Linked DNA regions of Oryctolagus cuniculus. The protein of the gene in region 1 purifies or fractionates together with the protein of each later gene. This does not show direct contact. Links are inferred from orthologs where the notes say so. Each region holds a gene or a part of one and is shown in the gene's direction. Other genes may lie near its edges.

Region 1 (4,268 bases):
AGAGAGCAAGCAAGCTTCCATCTACTGATTCACTCCCCAAATACCCAAAATAGTTGGAGCTGAGCCAGGCCAAAGTCAGGAACTGCATCTGGGTCTTCCACCCAGGTGAGAAGGGCCCAAGCAATTGAGCCATCTTCCACTGCTTTAGCAGGTGCATTAGCAGGGAGCTGGATCAGAAGCAGAGGAGCCGAGACTTGAACTGGTGCTCTTATGGGATACCTGCAAAGCAAGCAGTGGCTTCACCACTGCCCCAGTGTGTTCTTTCATGCCAAGTGCATAGCAGGCTTTTCATTAGTTTGTGTGAATTGTCCTTCTTAGTAAGCACTGGATGCAGCGGGAGAGCTAGGGAAAGGGGCCCTGCTTGTGGCTGCTGGGGTTGGTCCTCAGGTGCACCTGTGTGGGTAAGTGGATATTCCTGCGTGTCCAGTGTCTGGAGAGAAAGTGAAAGTCAGCCTCCTGTCTGCAAGTCCTAATGTGTTTCTCGTTCCACACAAAGAGCTGAGTGTGGGGTCAGCACTGGGGCGCAGCAGATTAATGCTCTGCCTGTGCCGTCCGCATCCCATATGGCCACCGGTTCTAGTCCCGGCTGCTCCTCTTCCAGTCCAGCTCTCTGCTATGGCCTGGGAAAGCAGTAGAAGATGGCCCAAGTCCTTGGGTCCGTGCACCCGTGTAGGAGACCCAGAAGAAGCTCCTGGCTCCTGGCTTTGGTTGTGGCCATTTGGGGAGTGAACCAGCGGATAGAAGACCTCTCTCTCTGCCTCTCCCTCTCAATCTCTGCAACTCTGCCTCTCAAATAAATAAATAGAAAAGAGCTGAGTGTGTGGAATGTCTCTGCTGTACGAATGACAGCCTTTTCCAAACTCTCTGGTCTCAATTTTCACATCCAAGTAGTTCAGTAATATGATGTCCAGGATTTCTGATACAGGACATTGGGGGTAGGGATGGGAGAAGGCGGGCTAGGAGTTGCTAATCGCTGAACCCACTTGCTAAGTACCTGGGTGGTCACTATTCAGTTTTGTTGGAAGTTTTTCATAATAATCCACTTTTTCAGATAAGGAGTGGGGGAAATAATAGTCCCTTCCTCTTTCAAAGAAGCTGTGACAATGACAGTCACAGCCGCGCCGGCACGTTTAAGTCAGGCACTTCTGGGCAGCCGGGCACCCCGCACGGGCCTGGTCCGCTCCTGGGCGCGCGTCCGCAGGCCAATGGCAGCCAGCTGCCTGCAAGTAAGGGAATCCCTGGTCTCTCGGCGAACTCCGCCCCTTTCTCCCCGCCCTCGAAGCCCCGCCCTCCGAGGAAGCGCCGGGCCGGGGCCCAGCAGGTGTGGGGTTAAGGGAGCCCGTCTGGGGCCCCAGGAGCAGAAGCAACTGCAAGAGCGGCGGCTGTGGCGGGCCTGGCCCGGGGCCAGCTGGCGGGGAGCCCCAGGAGGGAGGAGGGGGGAGGAAGAGGGGAAGGAGGAGGAGGAGGAGGAGGAGAGGAGCAGTCAGCAGGCCCGAGGAGGCAGGACTTCCTGGTGTGGGGGTTGTCAACAGCCCCGAAAGAGAAAGACAGACGAGACTGAGAGCAGCCGAGGAGCGGAGACAGGTCCAGCGGGACCACGCGGGAGGAGGTGTGCGAGACCCGCTCGCCGGGACCACCGAGGCCGGCTGCCGCCTGGAGCCGCGGGGGGCTGAGCCGCACCCTCCCACAGCTATCGGGAGACCTCGGGCTTCGGAGGCGGCTCCTGGGCTCCGCCGAGGGGGCGCAGACTCCTTTTCTGGAGCGAAAACTTTCCACGGAGATGCCTCGCAGGGGGAGGTGCGGCCCCCGAACAGGACTGGGCTGCCCCTGACCGCCGCCTGCGTGCCCCGCGCCACCCCGGGGCCAGGAGGCCCCCGGGAAAAGACAGCCCAACACCTTGGGCGCCGGGACCCCCACGGTCAGCTCGGTGGCCGAGACCGAGAGGTAAGGCCCCCGGACTGGGCGTGGCGCGGCGCGGCGCTTGGGGCGCGGGCAGGGCCTGCCCCTGGGATGTGGGAACCGGGGTGCGGGGTGCCTGGAGGAGGCCCAGCAGAGTCCGCCAAGCGGCCTGGAGGTGCCGCCTCACCCTGGTTCACCCAGGACCTGGAGCCGGTGCGCTCAGGACAAACTGGGTCCCCTGAGTTTGAATCCCAGGCCAGAAATGCCCAAGTCTGTGTGCCCCACGCCGTGCTCTCTGGCCTCCCCTGCCTGTCTCTTTGTCTCTGGGTCTCTGGCGATTTCCCCTTCCTCTCCAATTCTGCTCCCCAGAGAGGAAGCCCCGGAGGTGGCCTGCCCACTGCTTTCTCACACACGCGCGCGCACCCGCGCTCTCTCTCTCTTTCCAGTTTGCAAACTCAGCTCTGGAGTTCGGCGGCGGCAGCAGGAAAAACCTGCCCCTGCTCCCCCCTCCCGCCACCTCCCCTACCCTGTTCTGTCATCAGCCGGGCACCCCCAGTTCCCACAAGGCCCTTTGGCCATGTCGGACCCAGATGTTCCCAGGGGCCCTGATGCCCCCGCAATGTGGCCCCCCTGTTCTAGGGGTGCCTGAGCCCCTTCAAAGAGCCCCAGTCCCCCAACCTCAGCCCAGTCCTGAGTTCCGGGGACCATGAGTGGAGGCAAAAAGAAGAGTAGTTTCCAGATCACCAGCGTCACCACGGACTACGAGGGCCCAGGGAGCCCCGGCGGCTCCGATCCCCCTGCCCCACCGGCCCCTGCGGGGCCCCCGCCCCGCCTCCCCAACGGGGAGCCCAACCCCGACCCAGGGGGCAAGAGCACCCCCCGGAATGGCTCCCCACCGCCTGGGGCCCCTGCCTCCCGCTTCCGGGTGGTGAAGCTGCCCCACGGCTTGGGAGAGCCTTATCGCCGAGGTCGTTGGACGTGTGTGGATGTTTACGAGCGAGACCTGGAGCCCCCCAGCTTCGGCCGGCTCCTGGAGGGGATCCGGGGAGCCTCGGGGGGCACTGGGGGTCGATCTCTGGATTCCAGGTTGGAGCTGGCCAGCTTGGGCCTGGGCGCCCCTATCCCACAGCCAGGCCTGTCTCAGGGCCCCACCTCCTGGCTGCGTCCGCCCCCCAGCTCCCCTGGACCTCAGGCCCGCTCCCTCACCGGCGGGCTGGGCCAGCTGTCGGTGCCCGGCAAGGCCAAGGTGGAGACACCCCTCCTGGCGGCCTCCCCACCGCAGCAGCGCCTCCCAGAGCCTGGGACTGGGGATAGCGCCGGCACATCCCTGGCTCCCGTGCCCCTGCCCTCCCTAAGGGTGGAAGTGGAGGCTGGGGGCCCGGCGGCAGGGACCCCTCCAGCGTCCCGAAGGAAAGATGGAGCCCTGCGACTGAGGATGGAGTTGGTTGCTCCAGAGGAGGCTGGACAGGTAAGAGCCAGGTTCCAGGTTGGGGGAGACTCCTGAGGGCCCTGCTCAGGCATCTCAGTCGGAGCCTCACCGCCATGCTCCCCTCCCCCGCCACTGTCATCTGTCTCATCCGTGGCACCTCTTTTCTCTCTCTGCCGTCGCACTTTGCTGTCCTTTGCTTTCTCCCTGGGGCTCCTCTTCCCTGCAAGCTACACCTTCTTTCTCTGTGGCCTTTAATTTGTTGCCTTTGGCTCTTGCCCTGTCTCCATATAGCCTTTAGCTACAATGGTCTGCTCACTTTGGTCACCACCTTCTGTCTTGGGGTCTCACTCCCTCTGGCTCCAGGTAATGAGGGTGGAGGCCCCGGGCTGGGTGACTCGGCCCCTGGTCGAGGAGTTGCCAGGGTTTGGGGCGGGGGGAGGCTCAGGGGGCAAAAGGTGGGATTTCTGCTCTCAACCTCTCCACGCAGCTCCATCCTAAGCGCGGGGTCTTCTCTCTGCCAGTGCCCAGCCCAGGCTCATCTCCACCCTTGCTGCAAGCCATGTTTCTCTGAGGCACTGAGGAACTGGGTGGATGGGGCACTGGACGGGATGGGGGGCTCGCCTCACCCCTGGTGGGGGGGTCTGTCTTGGTTCCTGCCTCTGTCCCCTCTGGGGTTGATAACAAGGGGTGGCCACCGTGGCGTGGGAGAGAGGCGGGAAGCAGCAGAGGAGGAGTTAAGTCCTGTGCGTTCTGCTTCCTGTCTCCAAAAGAGGAACAAGTCTGGGCTGGGGGCAGGATGCCTGGGTCCCTGGGGTGGGGGTGGGCAGCCAGGAATGTGGGGTTGGATGCTTCTGTTCTGCAGGAGAAAATAACACCTTGGACTGCGGGGTGAGGGGGAAGGCCTGGAGGGTGAGGATGAGAATGTTTCCCCCTTCCTGGC
Region 2 (4,304 bases), on another chromosome or scaffold:
AAGGGCGGGGTGCCACAACACTGCCAGCACAGGACAGGCCTGGGTCAGGGCTGGCTCCAGGGCGGGCCTCCTCTGGGGCTCTGTTCTCTGTTTAGGGTGAGCACCACTCTCCGCAGGGCAAAGCCCCAGACACAGCTGCACACGACACCCTCCCCCCAACCTCAGGGGGGGTACCTCTGCTCTCCAGGACATGACTCCTGGCAAGATGGGTGGGCCAGGTCTCCCGTGACAAGCACCCAACTCTGGAGTGCACCCTCAGCCACACAGCGCCCTGGCTGGACCTGCTCCGGGGCCGGGAGCCTGCCAGCCTCCTCGGGTCTGGCTGAGCCTGCAATGGGCAGAGCAGTCCAGCAGGACTCAGCTGCTGGGGCCCGGGGAGGTTGGGGTGGGCTCTCCGAGAGCAGGTGGGAGCAGTGGGGGTGGGTGCGGCAGGACCAACGGCCCGGCCCTCCTGGTTGGGAGAGAGAAGAGACCAGCAGGAGGCCCCAGACCGTCCTGGCCTTCCACGAGCCAGCAGACTCTCAGAACTCAGAGCGGTTACACTGGAAGGGGTACCTCACCGTGGCCGGGGACACAGGGCAGAGCGGGCAGGAGAGCCCCCACAGATACCATCCGGCGCGGCCATGCGGACAGATGAGGCTTGGTCTCCTGAGGCCTGGGCTGCGGCCAGCCGGGCAGGCTCCACAGGCCTCATGCCCAGGGCTTCTACAGGGACAGGTTCTCACTGCAAGGCCCCAGGCCTCTGGGGGGAACGCAGACACACCAAGAGGTGTTCCTGGGAGCCGGTCGGGGCCAGTTCTTTAGGAGGTGTGGGGCACAGGCTGGTCAGAACGGTGACAGCAGTGGACGTGGGAAAGGGTCAGATGCCAGGGTTCGGGGAGCCCAGCAGTTCAGCTAGTTTCAGCCGGAGAGGAAGCAGGCACCCCAGCCCCCAGGGAGGGAGTCGGCAGATGTGTGTGTGTGGGAGGGGGTGCATGTTGAGATGAGTTTTTCTTTTCTTTTCTTTTTTAAGACATTTTATCTAAAAGGCAGAGTGACAGACAGGCACACACACTTCCATCCTCTGGTTCCCAACCCAAATGGCCACAACAGCCAGGTCTGGGTCAGGCAGAGACCAGGAGCCAGGAGCTCCATCCGGGTCTCCCACGTGGTGCAGGTCGGGGGACCACCGGACCTCCCCACCTCAGCGGAGTGTGCTCCCACTGGGCACGGCAGTGGCGGCGTAGGGATGCGGGGCAGCAAGGTGGTCGTGGGTGGTTCCCGACCGCGCTGCGCCCCAGGGAAGCCCCGGCCTAGGAGGCTCAGGCTGGCGCTGGGGTCTCTCCTGCCCATAGCCGGAGCGTCCCGGGCCCAGGGCAGCCGAACGAGGCCTCGGGTGGTTAGGGGCCAGGCTCTGACCGAGCGGCCAGGGATGGGGCAGCCTTGGGTGGGGCGGAGCCGCAGAGTGGGCCAGGCGCGGGCGCTGCCCTCCGGCTCCTCCCCCCGGCCCGCCGCGCGCCCGCGCCTCCGGATTCCCGAGCGCGGGTGGGGGCTTCAGGCGGCGGCGGCGGCTCGGCTCGGCTCGGCCGGGGCGGGCGCGGGGCTGGGCGGGGGCCGGGGCGCGGGACGCGGGGCTGGGGCGCGAGAAGGGCGGTGCCTGCCCGCCCAGCCATGGCGGCCCCGGAGCCGACGCCGAGGAGGGGCCGTGAGAGGGAGCGAGAGGACGAGAGCGAGGACGAGAGCGAGATCCTGGAGGAGAGCCCGTGCGGCCGCTGGCAGAAGCGGCGGGAGCAGGTGGGCGCGGGCGGGCGACGCTGGCGGCCTCGGACGCCGCGGGCCCGACGCGCGCGCCCTGGAGAGAAGCCCCGGGCCTCCGAGGACCGGTCTTCTCCCTGGACCACCGTGCGTCCCCGGAATCCGGCCCTGGCATGCGGCCCACCGCTCCTGGGGGACCCAGCCACGAGCGCGCGGGGCTGAGGGACGGGCGCGCGCAGGGCCCGGTCCCACCCGCGGCGCGCGCTGCCCCGCCCAGGTGAACCAGGGGAACATGCCCGGGATCCAGAGCACGTTCCTGGCCATGGACGCGGAGGAGGGGGTGGAGGTGGTGTGGAACGAGCTGCACTTCGGCGACAGGAAGGCCTTCGCGGCCCACGAGGTGAGACCCGGCCCCGCCGCGCCGCGCCCCGGGCCGCCCCTCGCTGCTCCTGACCGCGCCCCCTGTCCAGGAGAAGATCCTGACCATGTTCGAGCAGCTGGCGCTCGTCGACCACCCTAACATCGTGAAGCTGCACCGCTACTGGCTGGACGCCTCGGAGACCCGCGCGCGGGTGAGCCGCGGTGGGGTGCGGGCGAGGCGCGGCGGGCGAGGCGCGGGCCGTGGGACCCGCCGCGAGCCCGCCCGCCACGCAGGTGGTCTTCATCACGGAGTACGTGTCGTCGGGCAGCCTCAAGCAGTTCCTGAAAAAGACCAAGAAGAATCACAAGGCCATGAACGCCCGGGTATGGGGGAGGGGGCGGGCCAGGGGTCAGGGTGGGGGTGGGCGCGGGGGGGGGGCGGGCTGCGCAGGCCCGGCCGCCCCCCCCAGCCCACCCGATGGCGTCGTGCGTCGCCGCTAGGCCTGGAAGCGCTGGTGCACGCAGATCCTGTCGGCGCTCAGGTGAGCCTGCGCCTGCGCGCCCGCGCCCCACGCCGGCCGGGCGCAGCCTGACCACGCGGCCTCTCCCTGCCCCGCGTCCGCAGCTTCCTGCACGCCTGCAGCCCCCCGATCATTCACGGCAACCTGACCAGCGACACCATCTTCATCCAGCACAACGGCCTGGTCAAGATCGGCTCCGGTGCGGGTGCAGGCGCGGACGCGGCGGCGGGGGCAGGGCCGGGCGGGGACCGTGGACGCCGCGGCCTCGCGCTGACGCCTCTGTCTCCCCGCCGGTGCCGGTGCAGTGTGGTACCGCATCTTCTCCAACGGTGCGTGGGGCTCGGGGTAGCCTTGGCTGCGGCCAGGTTGCGTCCGCTCAGCGCCCGCGCTCCCCTGCAGCCCTCCCGGACGATCTGCGCAGCCCGGTCCTGGCGGAGCGCGAGCAGCTTCGGAACCTGCACTTCTTCCCCCCGGAGTACGGAGGTGGGTCCGGGGGCTCGGCGCGCGCCTCGCGGGCCCTGCCCGGCCCTGCCCGGCTGCCCGGCCTCGCGTCTCCCTTTCAGAGGTGGCCGACGGCACCGCCGTGGACATCTTCTCCTTCGGGATGTGCGCGCTGGAGGTACTGGCCCTGGCTCCCCGCCCCTCCGTGCCGGGCGGCCTCCGCCTCACCGCTGTCCTCTCCACGCCCAGATGGCTGTGCTGGAGATCCAGGCCAACGGGGACGCCCGGGTCACCGAGGAGGCCGTGGCTCGGGCCCGGCATTCCCTGAGCGACCCCAACATGCGGGTGAGCAGCCTGCCCGGGCTCTGGGCCTGTGGCTGCCGCCGAGGGGTGTGCCAGCCACTTGCACAAAGCCCACCGGCGAGGAGGACCTTGCTAGGGCCCCAGGCGGGGTTTGGGGCCTAGGACCCTAGGGGATCAGCGCTGTGAAGCCAAGGGCACTAGAGACAGCCTTGGCACGTGGCGCACTGGACCTCCCCCCCCCCACACACACACCCGAGGCTGGCTCAGAGAGGGAGCCGCAGCGTCACGCCGTCTGCCCAGCCCCGAGACCTCCAAGCTTCCAGACCTGGGGCTCCAGGTGGATGGGGGCAGGGTGGGCAAAGCAAGTGTAGGGCGCAAGCCTTTCGGGTCGGAGGCCAAGGGTTAGCTCTGCGGCCCCAGGGGCTCCTGGGGAGCTGGGGCGGCCCGGTCCATGCAGCCCCTGAGGCAGAGCCTGAGCAGGGCCGGGCTGTGGGTAGGGCCCGCCTGTGTGCCCGGATAATGGCAGTCACTGCCCGCGGTGCCGGTGCCCTCCCGCTCAGAGTCGGAGCTGGCTTGGCTGCCCTCGGGGTGCCTTTCCCTGGGTATTCCCGCCCAGGGCTCCCGCTGGGACTCTGAGGCGAGAGGGGCTGCACCCTGGGGTGCGGGGTTTCAGGAGGCCTCCTCCCACGCCCTCAGGAGTTCATCCTGTCCTGCCTGGCCCGGGACCCTGCCCGCCGGCCCTCGGCCCACAGCCTGCTGTTCCACCGCGTGCTGTTTGAGGTGCACTCGCTGAAGCTCCTGGCGGCCCACTGCTTCATCCAGCACCAGTGTGAGTGGCCGGCCAGCTGGGCCTGGCGTCCTGGCGCGGCAGCGTCCCCCAGGACTGGGGCTCAGCCCGCCCGTGTATCCTGCGGCCCGCAGACCTCATGCCGGAGAACATGGTGG

The links.
Region 2: the proteins of TSC22D4 (region 1) and NRBP2 purify together in Homo sapiens (affinity purification with mass spectrometry; 3 studies listed by BioGRID and IntAct, counting the BioPlex papers as one, with this or other methods). This does not show direct contact. The link is inferred for Oryctolagus cuniculus from reciprocal best matches to the Homo sapiens genes TSC22D4 and NRBP2.

The regions. Positions count from the first base shown.
Region 1 is NC_091450.1:42,686,147-42,690,414, reverse strand, and holds the start of TSC22D4 (TSC22 domain family protein 4), read left to right. Parts: upstream 1-1,468; 5' UTR 1,469-1,944; intron 1,945-2,345; 5' UTR 2,346-2,605; coding exon 2,606-3,367; intron 3,368-4,268.
Region 2 is NC_091437.1:167,681,812-167,686,115, reverse strand, and holds the start of NRBP2 (nuclear receptor-binding protein 2), read left to right. Parts: upstream 1-1,499; 5' UTR 1,500-1,650; coding exon 1,651-1,773; intron 1,774-2,011; coding exon 2,012-2,134; intron 2,135-2,204; coding exon 2,205-2,306; intron 2,307-2,388; coding exon 2,389-2,478; intron 2,479-2,595; coding exon 2,596-2,636; intron 2,637-2,719; coding exon 2,720-2,814; intron 2,815-2,920; coding exon 2,921-2,944; intron 2,945-3,014; coding exon 3,015-3,098; intron 3,099-3,178; coding exon 3,179-3,234; intron 3,235-3,305; coding exon 3,306-3,401; intron 3,402-4,055; coding exon 4,056-4,188; intron 4,189-4,280; coding exon 4,281-4,304. UniProt on the Homo sapiens protein: May regulate apoptosis of neural progenitor cells during their differentiation.